5 linked regions of the Sus scrofa genome follow. The protein of the gene in region 4 interacts with the protein of the main gene of each other region in a pairwise test. Links are inferred from orthologs where the notes say so. Each region holds a gene or a part of one and is shown on either strand. Other genes may lie near its edges. The genes, in order: FASTK, WWP2, ABI2, WIPF1 and GRB2.

What was found.
Region 1: the proteins of WIPF1 (region 4) and FASTK interact in binary tests that used the Homo sapiens proteins (3 or more experiments, as listed by UniProt). The two-hybrid records come from large-scale screens. The link is inferred for Sus scrofa from reciprocal best matches to the Homo sapiens genes WIPF1 and FASTK.
Region 2: the proteins of WIPF1 (region 4) and WWP2 interact in binary tests that used the Homo sapiens proteins (3 or more experiments, as listed by UniProt). The two-hybrid records come from large-scale screens. The link is inferred for Sus scrofa from reciprocal best matches to the Homo sapiens genes WIPF1 and WWP2.
Region 3: the proteins of WIPF1 (region 4) and ABI2 interact in binary tests that used the Homo sapiens proteins (3 or more experiments, as listed by UniProt). The link is inferred for Sus scrofa from reciprocal best matches to the Homo sapiens genes WIPF1 and ABI2.
Region 5: the proteins of WIPF1 (region 4) and GRB2 interact in binary tests that used the Homo sapiens proteins (3 or more experiments, as listed by UniProt). The link is inferred for Sus scrofa from reciprocal best matches to the Homo sapiens genes WIPF1 and GRB2.

Annotation. Positions count from the first base shown.
Region 1 is NC_010460.4:6,144,133-6,148,203, reverse strand, and holds the start of FASTK (fas-activated serine/threonine kinase), read right to left. Parts: upstream 2,808-4,071; 5' UTR 2,349-2,807; coding exon 2,231-2,348; intron 2,046-2,230; coding exon 1,623-2,045; intron 1,189-1,622; coding exon 1,009-1,188; intron 908-1,008; coding exon 768-907; intron 301-767; coding exon 87-300; intron 1-86. Other genes in the region: TMUB1 (transmembrane and ubiquitin-like domain-containing protein 1), read right to left, coding at 3,757-4,071. UniProt on the Homo sapiens protein: Phosphorylates the splicing regulator TIA1, thereby promoting the inclusion of FAS exon 6, which leads to an mRNA encoding a pro-apoptotic form of the receptor.
Region 2 is NC_010448.4:17,077,975-17,081,489, reverse strand, and holds part of WWP2 (NEDD4-like E3 ubiquitin-protein ligase WWP2), read left to right. Parts: intron 1-799; coding exon 800-881; intron 882-1,501; coding exon 1,502-1,630; intron 1,631-2,251; coding exon 2,252-2,327; intron 2,328-2,624; coding exon 2,625-2,696; intron 2,697-2,924; coding exon 2,925-3,013; intron 3,014-3,515. UniProt on the Homo sapiens protein: E3 ubiquitin-protein ligase which accepts ubiquitin from an E2 ubiquitin-conjugating enzyme in the form of a thioester and then directly transfers the ubiquitin to targeted substrates.
Region 3 is NC_010457.5:106,856,688-106,860,202, forward strand, and holds part of ABI2 (abl interactor 2), read left to right. Parts: intron 1-1,562; coding exon 1,563-1,709; intron 1,710-2,441; coding exon 2,442-2,566; intron 2,567-3,515. UniProt on the Homo sapiens protein: Regulator of actin cytoskeleton dynamics underlying cell motility and adhesion. Functions as a component of the WAVE complex, which activates actin nucleating machinery Arp2/3 to drive lamellipodia formation.
Region 4 is NC_010457.5:80,643,662-80,647,637, reverse strand, and holds the start of WIPF1 (WAS/WASL-interacting protein family member 1), read left to right. Parts: upstream 1-1,175; 5' UTR 1,176-1,328; intron 1,329-3,976. UniProt on the Homo sapiens protein: Plays a role in the reorganization of the actin cytoskeleton. Contributes with NCK1 and GRB2 in the recruitment and activation of WASL.
Region 5 is NC_010454.4:6,006,716-6,009,603, forward strand, and holds the end of GRB2 (growth factor receptor-bound protein 2), read left to right. Parts: intron 1-1,136; coding exon 1,137-1,305; intron 1,306-2,042; coding exon 2,043-2,228; 3' UTR 2,229-2,380; downstream 2,381-2,888. UniProt on the Homo sapiens protein: Non-enzymatic adapter protein that plays a pivotal role in precisely regulated signaling cascades from cell surface receptors to cellular responses, including signaling transduction and gene expression.

The sequences.
Region 1 (4,071 bases), on a different chromosome or scaffold from region 4:
GAGGCTTCTTGGGCTGCAGACCCCACCCTGCTGGCCCCCCCGGCCCCCGGCCCCCTGGGACCCAGCCAGCCCTCCAGTCTCCGCACCACTGATGTGATTGATGAAACCTGGGGAAAAGACAAAGCGCAGGGCTCGGAAGGGCAGGCACCGCAGCTGGCACAGTGACATCAAGATGTTGACAGTTGCCAGGGGGGCCACCCCTGCTTCCCGAGCCAGGATCCTCTCGAGGCAGGGCATAAACTGCTCTTCCAGAGGCAGGTAGTTCAGCCGCCCAAAGGGCAGGACCAACTTCTGGACCACCTGTGGAGCAAAAGCAGCCCATCACCCAGCAGGAAAGGTTTCAACATCCTTCACAAGCTGAACCTCAGGGAGGCGTGGCTGCAAGCTTAGGACGTCACCGTGAAGGCAGGACAGCCCCTCTACATACACACCAGAAGTCCCGCAGCGTAAGCAGTGCTTGAGTCCCACGTGATTAGTCTCCAAACGCAGGAGACACAGCTGTGGGATCTGCCATGAAGGCAGCTAGGTCAGGGGTAAGAGTGTTTGGAAGACGGCAGTAAACCAGGCATACGAGCTGGGGAGGTGGACAAGCCAAAGAGGGTGTGGGCAAAGAAGGAACCCCACCGCACAGAGCAGAGGGCCTAGTGGGGGCTGCCTGCTGCAGGAAGCAGCTGCCCATCAAGCCGGATGGGGGTGGGGGGTGTTGGCCTGAGGGGGTGTCTGAGGATGACTGGGAGAGGAGCCGTGAAGGTGGGAGGTGGTCCCACCTTGCTGTTGAGCTGGGCTTCCTGGACCACCAAAAAGTGAGCAATAGCTTCCAGAAGCTGGGGTTCCCGCAACCGGTGGCGGGCCAGGTGCTGGGCCAGGAGCACCATCACTTGGGGAGTCAGTTCCTCTGGCCTGGCCTCTGTGAAGAACAGCCTCTTAAGCTGGACCCTAAGGCCGGACACCACCACCTGCCTCCTCCTTAGCTCCCCTCCGCCCATCAACCTTAACCCCCTCCGGCACCTGCCAGGCTGCGGATGAGGTGCTGCTGTGGATGCCGCAGGAAACGGGGGCAGCTCAAAGCAGCTTCCAACCTTTGCCCACCATGAAGGACAGGTTGCGGAGAGGGAGGCGGCTTCGAATGGAGGCGGCACCTGCGCTCCTGTTCCAGGGCACGCACCAGGGGCCCATCTGATGGGAAGCCTGAGAGGGAGAGGGTCAGTGGAGGCAGGCCTGGCAACGGGGTTGCTCTGCTCTGCTCCAGTCCTGGAGTCTAGCTAGTGAATTCCCCACCCTTTCACCTCCATTTCCTGGGCTGGAAGGTTTGCTATAGAGAATGTACATGTGTGGACATGCTGGAGAAATGCAAAAAACCACATGAACTAAGGTATCAGAACAGACGGAGGGTAAGGCCTTATACAAAGATGGCAAGTAAGTTCTCATGTCTTGCCAATGGTGACAAGTGGCAGAGGCTTCCTAGAACACTGCACTAGAAGGGAGCTGGAGTGGCACCCCAGCTAAGCCGCAGTGAATGTGCCGTTCCTGGCAAAGCCTGAAAGGTGGGTTCTGTCAGTGATCTTGGGTCCTCTACCGTTCTCTCCTCTCCATTAACACCCACCCCCAGACACCCTCCTCACCAAGTAAGACTGCGAGGTGCAGACACACGTGGATGGTGTGAATGTCAAAGGAGGGGCAGTTTCGGATGATGAGCTGACTCAAGTCCTGTAGTGTGGCCTGCTCCACGGGAGGGGGCCGTGGCTGGGACCCCAAGAGCTGACCCAGGCGACGAAGTGCCACAAGGTAGTGGTGGGCGTGGACCTTGGTGGGGTTCTGGCCCAGCCAGCGCAGCAGCTCCCCAGGGCTCCTTGCCTGTTCCAGAAGCCGCTGCAGCCCCTGCACAGGGCCTACATGGGAGCCTCCTCCAGGAGGCCGGTCCCCCCACTTGCTGGGCCCCAGACAGTAGGGCTGTACTGGCGGGAGCAGCAGCAGGCCAGAGAGCCGAGCGCTGGAGGCCTGGGCAGAGAGCAGGACTCGAAGCATGGAGTTGGGTGATGGAGACCCTGAGGGGTGGCCCAGAAAAGGGGGTGAGGTATTCTCCAAAGGGGAGAAAGGCCAGCTCTCTGCTCCTCACCTCACACTCCCCATCCAGAGGGGCCTGGGGTCGGAGCAACCCAGACTCAGGTTCGCCCTTCTTTGTGGCTACGCTGGTCCTCCACCCCACCCGCACCTCTCTGCCTCCTTCTACCCTTTGAGACAGCAAGCGAATCCTTCAGTGTTCTCGGCGTAGGGATATTCACAAAGCAACGCCACATACATGCTCTCCTCTGATCCTCCTGTGAGAAGGCAGGCAGGGCCAGCATCATCTCGCTTTCACAGGTGGAGAAACCAAGGCCCAGAAAGGCGAAGGGGTTAAGTTAAGCCCGAGGTCACGCATCTGGTTAGTGGTCGCGCTCAGCCTGGAGCCCAGCTCGCCCCAACGATACGCCCTCCCGACCACCTCCCCCTCCCGTAGGAGGCGGCGGCGGCGGCACGGAGGGTGGAACGCGGGATCCGCAGCCAGACGGTCCTGGGTTCCATGCTGGGCGCTCCCACTTACCAGCTGCGTGACCTTGGACAAGTGGCTTCGTCTCTCTGCCCAAGCCTCCTCGCCCGTGAAACGAGAACGCAGCGCCCACCTCGGAGGGCGCAGCTTTGCTATGGCGCGGAGTCGGTGGTGTCAGGGGGCCCCACACCCACCCGGCCAGGGGATGCCAGGAGACCGTAGTCACGGCCACCAACGCCAACTCCCGCCGCCCTCCCGCAGCCCGCCCCTCAGGCGCCACCCCTACATGACTCCCCGGGCCCCGCGCAGATCGCTCCCTCAGTCGGTCTCGGGGCCCGAGAGCCGGGCTCCCCCCGCGGCCTCCTCATCGGCGGGCCACCGAGTCCGCCATCTTCCCAGCAGCCCCCGGATCGCCGCCCAGACGCCAATCGCGGCACGGTCCTCCGCCAGCGGAGACGTGGCTCCCGTCAGGCCCCGCGCGCCAGGGTGCCGCGCGCCCCGCCCCCTGCTTCTGGGAAGCTGCGCGCGCGGCTCCGGGGCGGGGGCGGGACTAGGAGCGGGGCGGAGCCCAAGGGCGAGGAGCCGAGGATGCAGCGAAAAGCAGAGGGGAAGTCGGCAGCCAGCCTGGGCAGGTTGGGCAGGGCGAAGTGCCTGGTAAGTGGGAGCGCCCAGCACGGAACCTAGGACCGTCCGGCTGCGGATCCCGCGTTCTACCGTCTTTCTCCCAGTGGGCAGGAGCTCCCTGCCCCACGGGCCCACACAGGCAGGCACACACCAAGAGTGAAAACTTCACAGTTATTTAATCTGCACATGTTCCAGAGAACCCCCTCCTTCCCACCCACGCTCCCGTCCTTGGGTCCCTAAATCAGCTCAAGATGCTCTCAGGGACTAGAGGTGGCTGGGTTTTCAGGCAGAACACTAAGAAGGGCCTAGGGGCGTGGCCGGGCTCTGCCCAGGGCCGAGGCAGCGACAGCAGCTGTCTGACCCGGAGGAGCTGACTGTCCGTGGGGGCTGAGGGCCAGCAGCCCCAGAAGGTGGCCCAGAGCCATGAAGGTCACAGGGAGGGGCCTCCGCCGGCCCCCGGAGCGCTCTGCGGCGCAGGGCTGGGCTCCAGGGTAGTGGGAAGAGGCAAGTGGGAGAGGCCGGCCGGGGCAGACAGCAGCTCCCACCGTGTCGTGGGGAGCAAGGTCCGGAGGGGCCAGCGACACTGCCAAGAGCCCGTGGAGGCACTACGGGCGGTACATGGCAAAGGCCAGGAGACTGAGGAGTAGGGTGAAGCCGGCCAGACCCAGGGTGGCTGTCAGGGGAAAGAAGGGCCGGTACTGGATCTGGCAGTACCAGAGCAGCAGCAGCAGCAGCAGGAGCAGGGGCAGCAGGAGGCTGCCTACCTCCAGCCCGGAGGGGCCTGGCTCTGACCCCGGTGGGCAGGGTGGGTGTGGGGGACCCACCCGGGTGGACACGTGGCAGTGGAGAACGCAGTTGGGAGGGAGGTGAAGGCTGCCCAGGGTCTGGGTGTCGTCTCCTAGCAGCTGCCCTTGGTAGAT
Region 2 (3,515 bases), on a different chromosome or scaffold from region 4:
TCTCTCCCTCGAACAACCCAGAGCCATCGTGAGTCCATTGGGGCTAGAGGTAGATACTGTCCCGAGGAGATCAGAGCTGTGTCTGAGCTCCCAAACGCTGCCCCGTCTCGAAGCACGCACTTAGGTGTAAGGCCGAGATGGCATTGTGCGTGCCTACAACCCCAGATGTGGATTTGCGCATAAGCAGCATAGAGGTTTTGTTAGGATGTGGGAGCTTTAGGACAAAATTTTGCCTTTAAGCCGGAGGGGACATAGGCCCGGTGGTGCAGAGCGCTGATCGGAGAGGCATGAGGGGAAATGCAGCCACCCCACAGTGACCCTGCCTGTGAGACAGGCACCCGGGTCACTGCATCCAGTGGGCGGAGCGGTTGCAGGACCAGAGAGCAGCAGCGATGGACTGGGGTGGGGACCCGGGTTGAGGGGAGGCTGGGCTGTGCCTCCACTTTGCACACAGCTGGTTGCAATTACGCCTCTGGGTTCAGCTGGGCTGCCCCCCCTCGTGTTGCCACACCACCCCCTTCTCTCCCGCAGACCCACCCACCGAAGACGGTGCTTGATCTTGAGTTGAAAACGTGTCTATCCCTCCTCCCCAGAAAGGAAAGGGCTCCTTGTCCTTTTTGCCAGTGACGGATATGAGAGCCAGGCTCTGGGTGGTTAAACTTCTCTGACAGCTTGGGACCAGGAGCAGGCATTCAGAGCCAGCAGCCGGGAGGCGGGAGCCAGAGGGGAGAGGGATGTGGGCTCAAGATGTCTCAATCTGAGCGTCTTTTCCTTTTTTTTCTTTCTTCTCCTCTGGCAGAGAAGAGACAGGACAATGGACGGGTGTATTACGTGAACCATAACACACGCACTACCCAGTGGGAGGATCCTCGGACCCAGGGGTAAGGACTCACACCAGGAGAGGTCTGAGCTGGGCCCCTGTGCAGCTCTAGCCCTGGCCCAGGAGCCTGCATGCGTCCTCCATGGCCGATGTTCTGGGACCCTTAGCCACACACGGGTGCCCCGAGACCCTCACGATCTGATGTCTGCCCAGTGAGAGCTTGTGAGTGGCACCTTAAATTGACCTTCCTTGTGGACAGAGAGTGGCCTGGTGGGCAGGTGTTGCTGGTCTCTGTACCAGCTGTGCAGGCTGCCGATTGTGTGATTTCAGAAGGGCCGAGAACTTCCCCCTCATCCTAAAACTCTGTTCTTCCCAGCCTCCCAGAAGCTAGTCTGGGAGAGGGGTACTTGGTGTCCTGGCATTGTTGGTAGATGCTCAGACCACGGCCATCCACCCAGGGCTGGTTCTTTGGCTTTGGGACAATAGATGGCCTCTCTCTGCTGCAAAACTGTCCTCAGGGTTCAGGCATTGCCAAGTGCATTTGCTCAAGGCCCACCTTCAAGGGCTCAGCAGGGCCTGGGAAAAGCAGAAATAAAGCAGCCCTGTGGGACCCCAGCCTCCTTAGCCTGGAGGCCCAGCAGGTGAAATTTGCCTTCAACCCCTCTCTTCCCATGTTGCCAGGATGATCCAGGAGCCAGCTCTGCCTCCGGGGTGGGAGATGAAGTACACCAGCGAGGGGGTGCGTTACTTCGTGGACCACAACACCCGAACCACCACCTTTAAGGATCCTCGCCCCGGGTTTGAGTCTGGGTAAGGACCTGGCACAGGTGATACCCCGCTCTGTTAGCTCAGGCCGGGTCCAGCTGTTCTCACTGCCCTCTAGCGGCCAACTTTGATGTCACACTTTTTTTTTGGTCTTTTTAGGTCTACACCAGAGGCATATGGAGGTTCCCAGGCTAGGGGTCTCATTGGAGCTGTAGATGCCAGCCTACACCACAGCCACAGCAGTGCCATATCCGAGCTGCGTCTGCGACCACACTGTAGCTCACGGCAGTGCCAGATCCTTAACCCACTGAGCGAGGCCAGGGATCGAACCTGCATCCTTGCGCATGCTAGTCAGATTTGCTTCTGCTGAGCCAGGATGGGAACTCCTGATGTCACCCTTTAATCAGTGTGAGTGGGGAGAGGGAAGGGGCTCCTTTGTTCAGAATAACACTGGCGGTCTTTCTCTAAAAGCAAGAGGTCTGGCTTTGTTTCTATTTTTTTCGTTTGAATCTTCAAATCTGCAGATGGTCTTAATGGCAGTCACTTCCTTTCTCTTACGCCTACTTCGCTCATCTTTAAATTAACGTGGCATCAGCTTTCCTTAGGGCTAACAAGATATGTTTTTGAGAAACCCCATGGATTCCCGAGCATCTTTGCTCTTCCTAGGACAAAGCAAGGTTCCCCTGGTGCCTACGACCGAAGTTTCCGGTGGAAGTATCACCAGTTCCGCTTCCTCTGCCACGTGAGTTCTGGTAGTAGGGCTCCCAACCCCCCAACCCCTGAAATTATAGTTTCGGCCCAATTTCTAGCCCAGGAGCAGGCGCTGGAATGCCTGTGTCTTAGGTGGGAGCCGGTCACTCATCTCACCCAAGGGGTTATGTGACATTATCTCCAGGAAGCCGGCTTCCTTTCCTAGGGCATCAAGTTGTTCCTTCTTGGCCCAGGGTGGGTGGGGAAGCCTATTCAGACAGACAGGTGATCAGGCGGAAGACTTGCCACCAAGGCCCCAGCTGGAGGTTTGTTTCTCTTTTCTTTTCAGTCAAATGCTCTCCCCAGCCACGTGAAGATCAGCGTCTCCAGGCAGACACTTTTTGAGGATTCTTTCCAACAGGTTAGAGAATAATCTTCATGTCTGAAACCAGAGGGCCGGCAGAAGGCCCCCTCCTGCAACCCGTCTTCTGTCATGTGGCCTTTTAAGCCCATAGAAGTAGAATTTTCAAGGCGTGGTCCACGGTGACCGGTATCTGCCGAAGAGCAGGCCTAGAAGTCCCCCGTCCCCTGCCCCCGGCCTGCCGTGGACTGGAGAGTGGCAGGCTGGCTCAGTCTTCTATCTCCCCAGATCATGAATATGAAGCCCTACGACCTGCGCCGCCGGCTCTACATTATCATGCGCGGCGAGGAGGGCCTGGACTATGGAGGCATCGCCAGGTGAGCTGGGTGCCCCTGGAGGGCTGTGCTGCACCCCACTTCCCCGGGGCCGCAGAGCCCATGGCTGGAAAGCTGCCTCCTCCCTTCTCAGACAGTTGCCAGAGCTCCCCTGCACCTGCAGGAGTGGGCACGGGTGTGGCGGGTCTGAAGGGGTGCTGGAGCAGGGTCTTGGGGTCCCCTGCTGGGCTAGGCATCAACCCTGTAGTTACCGGGTCATGGGGAGGCTGAGGGGCTTTGTGGGGAGGGGCTCACTCAAGACAGTAGCTCTACCCACCAACATCATTATGTCTGTATTTCACCCAGTCCGTCTGACCCGTGGGCAGGGGAAAAATACCGGTGTTGAGTGGTTGTCCATGAAAGCTGACCCTGGGCCTCACTTCCTCTTGAGGCAGCCGGGGCATGCTGAGTTGGGAGTCATGGTATGTACCTGCCGTGCATAGGCTGTGTCACCCTCCAGAGGGCATTGATCAATACCCAGCTGTAGGTCATGTGCACAAGGTCA
Region 3 (3,515 bases), about 26 Mb from region 4:
TTTGTTTTTATTTTTATTTTTTCGGTCGCCTGGAGGCATATGGAATATTTTAAATCCAAGGTTCTGACCTTCATTTTTCTTTCTTTGACCCAGTGTCTCATTTAGTGCCCTGATTCATTTTTAATAATGTGTGTATTTGTTTATGCCAGATTTTGATGGTAATAGAACAGACACGGTCATTGCAAAGTGACCTCATTCCAAATCAGTGAGCCAGCCCTTGAGTGGCCCAGAACAGTTTAAAGGAACCTGGGGAGCTTTTGGGAAAGTGAATTATAATTATTACTTTTTTTTTTTGGTCTTTTTGTGTATTTTAGGGCCATACCCACGGCATATGGAGGTTCCCAAGCTAGAGGTCCAGTAGGAACTGTAGCCGCTGGCCTATGCCACAGCCATAGCAACGCAGGATCCAAGCCGCATCTGCGACCTACACCACAGCTCATGGCAATACCAGATCCTTAACCCACTGAGAGAGAGGCCAGGGATCTAACCTACATCCTTATGGATCCTAGTCAGGTTTGCTAACTGCTGAGCTACGACGGGAACTCCAGGAGAGTGAATTATTGAGAAATACATAAGTCAAGTGAGTAATGTCATTTTAGGAGAAGAAGAGTCTTTAATTTTCACATGTTGAAATCCAGTTTTGTTTTTTTTTTAAAGACCAGAATCTCATCTATACAGTATCAGTTTCATGTCAGAGTGTTTGTCATAAAAAATTTGGAAATGTAAAGATGAGAACTAACTTAAATAATCACTAGTGTTCCAGTGTGTATCCTATTTCCTATCATATTTCCTTTCTTGTTCTTCTCATTCTCTTCTTTTAAAAGGGAATTTTGAGGGGAAAAAAAGGGAAATATGCTAATGAAATCCAGTTTACTTTGTACTTTACAGTTCAAAGTAAATAAGGTAGAAAGACTTAGGTGACTTTTTATTTCTTCTCTCCCTTTTGAATATTGAACTCTGAAGAGGGTAAGGGCAGTCAGGGTGGAAGTTGAAGGAGGATGTGAAGAGAGAATGGAGAATGAGATTCCATTGTTTATTTCTCTGTGTGGAGATACAGTTTTATTTCTGTGTACTAGCTGTATACAAAAGGAATTGAATTGTTGTTGCTCTTGATCATCAGTGTGGGGGTTGTGGAGCCAAATTCTAAATTTATTTACCTTACTTTTTGAATACTTTTGGTTAGGGAGAGAGGGGGTGAGGAAGACAATTAGTGCATTCGTACAGTGCAGTTGGGAGAATTTGATTTGGCACTAAAATACTTTGAACGTATCTTAGAAGAGAGTCTGGGAAACATTGGCCTACCAGGTGGGAGAATCTTCATGCTCTCAGAATGAGTGAACAAAATTGCATTGGCACAGGGAAATGAGGTCAGAGACTAAAAAATAACAGTAGCATCAAAACCCTAATGGTGAGGTGATACTTATACTGAAATTGGTAGCTGGGTTTTTTTAAAACACATTTTACTATCTCTCGAGTACAAATTGTATTTCACTACTGGCAACTCTGAATTTATTGTGCCGAAACTTGCTAATCACACGCTACATACGCTCTTCTTTTTGTAGGCGGCACTCCCCCTATCGCACACTGGAGCCAGTGCGTCCTCCAGTGGTACCAAATGATTACGTACCTAGCCCAACCCGTAATATGGCTCCCTCGCAGCAGAGCCCTGTGAGGACAGCTTCTGTGAATCAAAGAAATCGAACTTACAGGTATTTTCTCTACCTCAGCGCAAAATGTGATGGTCATAGTACCATAATTTGTTTAGATAACTTCAGTTAAACCTTTCTCATTTTCCAAGCACTAAGTTCTTTTCCTCACTCTACTCCTCCAAACCTCATCTGATTCCACCTCTCTCTCCTCATGTTCTGATGCAAATTTGAGCAATCAGCAAGTTGAAAAAGAACAAACCTTTCAAAGTGCAAACTCCTTTACAAGATCGATAGTTTTAGTTGACCCGAAAAAAAATTGTGGACCGGATGTGGGAAATTTCAAGTTGTTTTTTGGTGGAACTTTACAGATGAAAAACTATACGCAATAAAACACTAGTATGGGGTAGTCGTGATGTTGCAAATAAAATTAATCAAATAATCTGTTTAGGAAAACTTTTTATTATAAAAAAGATTCCTCAGGCAGCCATTTTAAACTGGAATGAAAGAAAGGAGTATTATTTTTCTGTGTTGAGCCCCATCATTTGTCACTTACATTGATGGAGAATTTTTTTTCTTTCCCAACTTCTTTAATACATACTCGTTAAAAGGTATCCAAAACAAGTTTTTTTGAACTCGGCTTTTCCCTTTACTCTGTTAAGGAATTCATATTTGAAGTGAAAGACTTTGGAATTATCATCGTATAGCTATATTCATTTCAGAAAATTTTGGAAAATGCTGGTGATACCTTACCATATATAAATGCTCATGGTTTGGTGGCTCTTATTCCTTTAGCAGCAGCGGGAGTAGTGGAGGAAGCCATCCAAGCAGTAGGAGCAGCAGTCGGGAGAACAGTGGAAGTGGGAGTGTGGGAGTCCCCATTGCCGTTCCCACCCCCTCTCCACCCAGTGTCTTTCCAGGTAAAACATGCATTGTGCTTCATCATCACCTCTCCTTTTGGAGTCTTGAGTTGAGTTTCTGATTTAATTACAGTGGGTTTTCTTCATAATTGGATTTTTTTTTTCCCTTTAAGAGTCTAAATGTTGAGAAATCTTTATCCATTTGTTATTTTAGCCAAGTGATTTGTAAGTTTGTTACAAACTTCTCTGTTATTTGGTTTAATGTATTTGGTGCTATGGCTGAGGTGGTGCTTTGAGGTTTCAGATACCACCTTGGAATGAGTTACGTGTTTAATTCCAGCTGGTGTTATGACAGTGCATGCCTTTGGACACAGTGGGCACCCAGTGTGAGGATCAGATTGGTAACCAAGGATTGGACAGATATAATTAACTAGTTAAATTTAGCTGACTCTGGAACTTAATAATCACTGAAATGCTACCCGCTTTTCTCTGAAACAAAATAATGTATGGCTATACCACCCTGAATGCACCCGATCTTATCTGAAACAGAGAAATGTACTTGTTTAATTTGAGGACTCACAGTTAAAATTTAGTTTTTAAAACATGACCCAAAAGACATTAAGGATAGGATATTACATATTTAATTTGCTTTAATAACAAATAGATAATATCTTTTTAAAAGTCATGAAAAGGAGATTTGTATTTTTCTAAATTCTTTTTTACCAATAAGATGTTTATGTCTGGATACATGTTTAGTTTCTGATTCGTGTAAATCAAAATGGAATATGGTTTTTTTTTTTTTTTTTTTGTCTTTTTGCCATTTCTTGGGCCGCTGCTGTGGCACATGGAGATTCCCAGGCTAGGGGTCGAATCGGAGCTGCAGCTGCCGGCCTACACCAGAGCCACAGCAACTCGAGATCTGAGCTGCGTCTGCAACCTACACCACAGCTCACGGCAACACTGGATCCTTAACCCACTGAGCAAGGCCAGGGATCGAACCCGTGACCTC
Region 4 (3,976 bases):
TCACCACGGAAATGGCTGAAAAAGAAAAGCTTACCCAAAGATGGGTTCATTCAGGGACAAAAGTTTGTCATTGAGAAGTTTACCCATGTTACTAAATCTCTTTCCCAGAAGAATTATTGTATCTGTTAAGAGCATGTCAAGGTGCAAAGGTGCACATGGGGACTGGCCTACAAGCAGACAGCCTAAAGTCAAGGATGAAGGGCCTCTTCAAGCTAGGACATCCATTCTGAAGTGCATGTATTCCCACCTGTCCTGCTTTTATTCGAGGGATATACAGCCTTGGTATTTTAACATGAATAAACATGAAAACCATTTTAATGGTTTAACATTTTAACCATGTAATATGATTACATGGTTATTATATCGATCACAATTTGTTGTTCTTTTCAAACACATAGATTCTAACATCTGTGTTGTCTTAGTGTGAGCTTGTGCTTGGATCCTGGAGGTGGCCGCTTTCAGAGCTGGTCAGTAACAGCTCCGGCAATGGCGTAGAACCTCAGGTTTCTCCAACTGTTTGCTGCTGGTGCTACCATATTTGAGGATGTGGGTGGCTGATTAGCTACATCCCTACTAGGAGTGGAACTACTCAGAGAATCCTGCTGGTTCTTGGTGGGGGGACTTGCCTTCTTTCCATAAGACGAGCACTGCTGTCCCCACACAGTGGGCAGAGAGAAAGATGCAGGTGGACCTTGGGTCTTTGTGGGTGCCACTCCATTTTAAAATTCATTTTTTTAAGATGAATTTCAATTTAAGGTGTTTCCAAGCCGGACTCTCTGAGGACAGAGAAGGCCGGGAAAAGTCTTTCCCTCTCTTGGGGTTGCGGGGGGTCGGGTACGGGGGTGGTGATGGCGGTGGTGAAGGGACCCCGACAGCGGGAAGCTGTGGAGTCTTCGGAGGAAAGGGCCCTGGAGCTGGACACCCCTTCCAGTTCCCACCTCTTTGCAAACCCAGGGGAGGGGAAGGAGCGACACAGGAGCCCCAGCTTCCAATCGCCCCATTGCTGCCACGCTCCGTCGAGGCCCTAGGCCGTGGGGCGCAGAGCCTCAGCTCCAGGCAGCGCGGGCGCGGCGCACAGAGAGGAGGCGAAGGGCCGGCAGCGGCCTCGCGGCGCGTCCACATGCGGCGGGGCCGCAGGGGGGGCGGGGGGGACGGGGAGCCGAGGGGGAGGGTTTACATCCCAGCGAAGTTCCCGGATGGTCGCAGCCTCCCGGCGCTGAGCGCTTTTCCTGCCCGGCCGGCTCAGCCCTACGAACCGGGGAGAAGTTTCCCTAAGAAAAATGCCCGGCGCGCCGCAGGGCCCTGGAGCTGCCCGGAGCCGTTGCACGGTAAGGGACGCGCCGCTGCCGCTGCCAAGGGCGCGACCGGGTTCCGGGGACTCAGGGCAGCGCCCGTGGAGACCCTCTAGGCCCCCAGGGACCCCGAGGAGGGCTGGGCTGGGCATCTCGGCTCGGCGCCGGGTGGGCGCGGGCGGGGGCCGCGGGGACGTCGGGGCTGCGTCCGCTGCGGGCGGGGGCGGGCGCGCGGTCTCGGGAGGGGCGGACTCGGGCCCCGCGGCTTGCGCGTCCAGTACCCGCGGGCAGAGAAGGAAGGGGCGGCGGACCGTGAGGGTCCGGACGCGGGCGCCTTCTGGGCTGGGCGCGCCGCTGGGCTCCGCAGATCTCCGGCCACCCGGGGGCTCGGCCCGGCTCCCGGCTTAGGTACCCACGGCAGGGGCTTCGCTGCGATGCGCTGGGGCCGCGTCTACCCCACCCATGACAGGCGAATGGAGACTTTAGGGCACCCCGAGGCCAGTTTCTGCCAGGGAGCTGCCTCTGCTTCTTCTCAGGGGAGTTGTGCCCATCCCGCAACGCGGCTTCCCAGACTCGCCTCCCGCCGGGTGCCCCAGGCTGAGCCTCGCGCTGCGGGCAGTGTAGACGCTTGCGTTAGATGTGTGCGGTGACCTTAAAGGACGTCCAGTCCCCGTCAGCTCTTTTCCCCCCAGGGCCTCTCCGGAACTTTCGGAACGGCTTCACTTCAGTCTCACTCCCTCTACTTTTTCTGTTAACATATTTTTTTTTTCTTCTTTTTTTAAAGTACTGTTAGAGAAAGTTGCAAGCGTAAGAGAAACCAGCTGACCCAATCCGGGCGACCCAAATCTTCAACTCGTGGTTAGACTTTGGACTCCTGGAGCTTAACAAAGGGTGTGTCTGTGAGGAACCGAGCCTGGCCAGGTCCTCTGGTCCTGCTTAATCCCAGAGGAATACATATTCCTTCCTGGGCCACGGGCTGCTGACTTTATCTCAGTTCTCTGGGAAGCCTCTCAAGTTGTCAGCAGTGACTGGGTGGACTTGGTCCCATTTTGTGAAAATTGTGTGACACCGTTGTCCCCTGAATAGTCACTGGATTCCACCCCCAATCACTGGCCGAGTGTAGTCCCAGACTTTAGGCGGTGCAGCCGCGGAGCCGCTGGACCGAATCCCACCCTGGGTGGGTTTTCTTTTGCCAGTTTCCCAAGGCAATTCCAAAACAATACTGTAGCTTCATTTTGAGTCGTTGGCATATTTTTCCTCCTCAGAAAAAGCCTTTTTCTGTTAACGGTTAAAATAACTCCAAAGAGTTTTCATTTTCAGTTTTTATGAAATACCCTTGGACTTCTGGAGGTGAGAAAATCAGCATAGGCCATTGGCATTTGCATCTTAATTCCTCTTTACAGTGCTCACAAGACTGCTTTCTCCTCTTGTGTATCTTGACTCATCTGTCATCTTCACAGGGCTGAGTCTCAGGGACCAAATCCCCAGCTACCTGTAGCAGCCCATTACCCGTTGAGTGGAATTGTGCAGACTGGACTTTGCAGTGGTTATTAGACTATTCTAGTAACCTCATCATCTTTTTTGGCTCCCTGAGCAGCACAAAAACTCTTAGGTTTTTGTGATGTAGAGCAAAAAGATTTGTAAGCAAGGTAAGATCAGATGTGGGTTCATTTAGAGACAGTGAGATTATTTCCAGCTGTAGAGATTCATGCCTTTCATTTGTTTGTTCATTTCACCAATTAAGTGTCACTTTCTGGTCCTTTAGGCATATCATGTGTATTGTGCAACTTGAGCCTCACTTATCCAAGAAATGGAGTTGATAACCTTTGCCCTTTCTCCATCTCATCCTGTGAGGATCAAGTGGGATAATGGTGTGTGAAGCAGCAAAAAGCAGCACAGCACAAGGCATTAGAGGGGCACCATGCAGTATGTAGCACCATGACATGAGAGCAATAAAGAGCTAAAGGAGGGGAGTTCCCGTCTCGGCTCTGCAGGAACAAATCCAACTAGTAACCACAAGGTTGCAGGTTCGAGCCCTGGCCTTGCTCAGTGGGTTAAGGATCCTGTGTTGCCGTGAGCTATGGTGTAGGTTGCAGATGGGGCTCTGATCTTGTGTGGCTGTGGCATAGGCCAGAGGCTACAGCTCTGATTCTACTCCTAGCCTGGGATATGCCGTGGGTGTGGCCGTAAAAAGCAAAAGCAAAAAAAAAAAAAAAAAAAAAAAAGAAGCTAAAGGAGTGGGACAGGGCTGGTGGAGAGAAAGTGGTATCCCTTTACCTGTTAAACTTACTGTCTCAGTTGCTTTGCTCAGGGATGAGCCTGCTTTTGAGGGGAGTATTCATCCCTGGCTCTATGTCACAGTCTTGGTTATTTCAGGGTGTTCTTAACTATGGATAGGACTTCTACAGTGCACATCAGGAGAACAGAAGGCAAAGTACCTTTTTGGTTGTTGCTGTAGCCCCTTCACTTTAAGCATCTGATATTTAGGACTCTGCCTCCCAGAGCCATCGTCTTCCTGAAGCCTGAGGTCTACCAAATTCCTAATGATTTTCATACAGAGGTCTCTGCCACTGTGACCAACATTCCACAGTGATGCCACAGTGATGCCACAGTGCTGGAAGGTTTGGTAGGCTTATGCCTTGTGAATAACCAGGACCCACATATGTGAATCAGGTCACAGTTGA
Region 5 (2,888 bases), on a different chromosome or scaffold from region 4:
CTGTTTCTAAGCGCTTCCTACTCGTGGCTTCCTTAAAGCTCAGTGCTGCCACCTGCTGGGTTGTTTTTAAGACGCGTTAATGCCTTAAAACCAATGGCAGAAGAGAGTCCTCCGCTCGTTTTGCAGATGGTTGTAGAGTGCCTTGTGAGGGACGGGCAGCGCCTTGGTGGAGCTGATGTGCTGGGCCGACAGCACGGTGTCTGTGGGCCGGCCCACTCAGCCAGGCTCGGGCTGGTTTTCTGGGCCAGCGTGAAAGGTGGCATTTACCGCTTTACCAGGTGGTAGAGGGGAGGGGGTAGGAGGTGCCTGGGCCTTTTTAGTGTCCCAGCATGTTTTGTTCTGAGATCTTCTCCCCACAAGTAGACCTAAAATCCTTGAGCAGAAAACAGGACTTTTCGGAGTTCCTGTCGTGGCTCAGTGGAAACAAATCTGACTAGCATCCATGAGGACACAGGTTCGATCCCTGGCCTCACTCACTGGGTTAAGGATCTGGTGTTGCTGTGAGCTGTGGTGTAGATCACAGATCCGTCTTGGATCCGGCATTGCGGTGGCTGTGGTGTAGGCTGGTGGCTATAGCTCAGTTTGACTTCTAGCCTGGGAACCTCCATGTGCTGCAGGTGCAGCCCTAAAAAGACAAACAAACAACAAAGAGAGAGAGAAAAGAAAATATGGCTTTAAACCTTTCCTAGGTACAGGAAAATCGCTAGAAGTATGTCCCATCCCTTCTCACCTTATTTCCTGTCCTGTCTCTTGTAGTCTCTTTAAATATCATACAAGATTTTAGTCCTTTTATCTTTTGGTACAGGGCAGGGAGCGGCTTCCACAGGTTAGGACATTTCTCTTTTTTATTTGCAAACTTCTTCAGAATTAGTCTGACAAGGTTTCTGTGTCTGGAGAGGTGTCTTCATGTTGACACTGGTCATTGTCGGCCGAAACGGAGGGGTCAGGGCGCTTGGTGACTGTCCTGCCTCTCCAGCCAGCCGGTCAAGCTGTGCTCCAGCCCCGGGCCCTCAGGCTGTGCGGGGCGCGGCCAGAACATGAGTTCTCCCAGGATGGCTCCTTGCTCGGCAGGTGGCCCCTGGCAGCCAGGACAGAGCCCTGGGACCTGTTCTCACTGTGTCCTCTGCCCTCCCCAGGTTTGGCAATGATGTGCAGCACTTCAAGGTGCTCCGGGACGGCGCTGGCAAGTACTTCCTCTGGGTGGTGAAGTTCAATTCTTTGAATGAGCTGGTAGATTATCACAGATCTACATCCGTCTCCAGAAACCAGCAGATATTCCTCCGGGACATAGAACAGGTGCCACAGGTGAGCTTCGTAAGGGAGAGATGGGGGTCCCTTTTATCAGTGAAGGGTGGCGCCTCAGGCCAGCAGGTGTTCTTTCAGAGGGTTTACCTCTGGGCCTTTTTTGCTCCTTATCCAAAATGTTATCCTTAATTCGTGTTAAAGATTTGAAGTTTGAAACAAAAAAATAATAGTCTTGCCCCCTCCAGAGGCTGCTTCCCTGAAGCCGTGGGTCTCTAAGGTACACTTGAACACACCCTCAGGTAGCCGTTCCCTGGCACTGAGCTGCGGGGAAGATCAGGCGTGTGAGGGGCGGGGTCCCCTCAGTCCTGTGTTCGCTGTCCTGTGTTCTGGTGGGCACCACCGCACTTCATTCAGGCTCTTAGCCTCTGACCATAAAACCCGAAGGATTTTATAAGTGTTAAGGTGATAGGAAGTAAAACTTTTGCACCTCTGGGATTGTAAACGAAGCCCCACTGGCTGTTTCTGAAGTTCTCTCCCCTTAAAGCTGAACTTGCTGCCCTCTGCTCGATGCCCTGCACAGCTGGCCACCCTGGGTACACTCTCGTGTTGCTGTGGCTGAAAGAGTCCGCCCACCCGGGGTCCACCAAGGCTCTGGAAGAACTGGTGGAGAGGGGAGGCGGAAGGAGGGGTTATTTCAGGTCATGTGGCAAGGCTGGCACGCCTCGGGTTCCCGTCACCAGCGCGAGGGGCTGGCCGCCGTCGGGAATGCAATGTGTTTTCTCCCTGCCTCTCTGCAGCAACCGACATACGTCCAGGCCCTCTTTGACTTTGACCCCCAGGAGGATGGTGAGCTGGGCTTCCGTCGGGGAGACTTTATCCACGTCATGGATAACTCGGACCCCAACTGGTGGAAGGGGGCTTGCCACGGGCAGACCGGCATGTTTCCGCGCAATTACGTCACCCCTGTGAACCGGAACGTCTAAGAGTCAAGAGAAGATTATTTAAAGAAAATGAAGAATTTTAAACACGTGCAAAAGAATTAAACCCATGAGCTGCCTCTAACAGCAGCCTGTGAGGGAGCTCGGAACCCCTGGCTGGGTCACCTGGTGACCCTCTCACTTCGGTTGGAACTCGGGGGGGTGGGCGGGGGCGTTGGATATAATGCCAAAACTTACCTATAAATTAAGAAGAGTTTTTATTACAAATTTTCACCGCTGCTCCTCCTCCTCCTTTGTCCTTTTTTCATCCTTTTTCTCTTCTGTCCATCAGTGCATGACGTTCAATGCCGCATATAGTCCTAGCTGTTGCCAATAATAAAAGAAAAGAAACCACGTGGGCTGATATTTTCTCTATGCAAAATGTCTGTTTTAGCTGGAACAACAGAAAGAAGAACAGCCGCTTCCATGTCCCGCCTGTGCACTCGGACAGCGGGCGGGAGCGGGAGGCCCGTGCTGCTCAGCTTCTGCCGGGGGAGCGGGGGGAGCAGGGCCGGCCCCCTCCCAGCCCACCCCACGTGTGGACGTGGACTGGGGTGGCGGAGGGGGTGGCGCCCCTCGGGGCTTCCTGCAGGCCGGGCCCTAACCTGTGTCCCTTTCCACGTGGTTTTCCCTCCAAGTGGTGTTTTGAGCATGTTGTTTTTCATA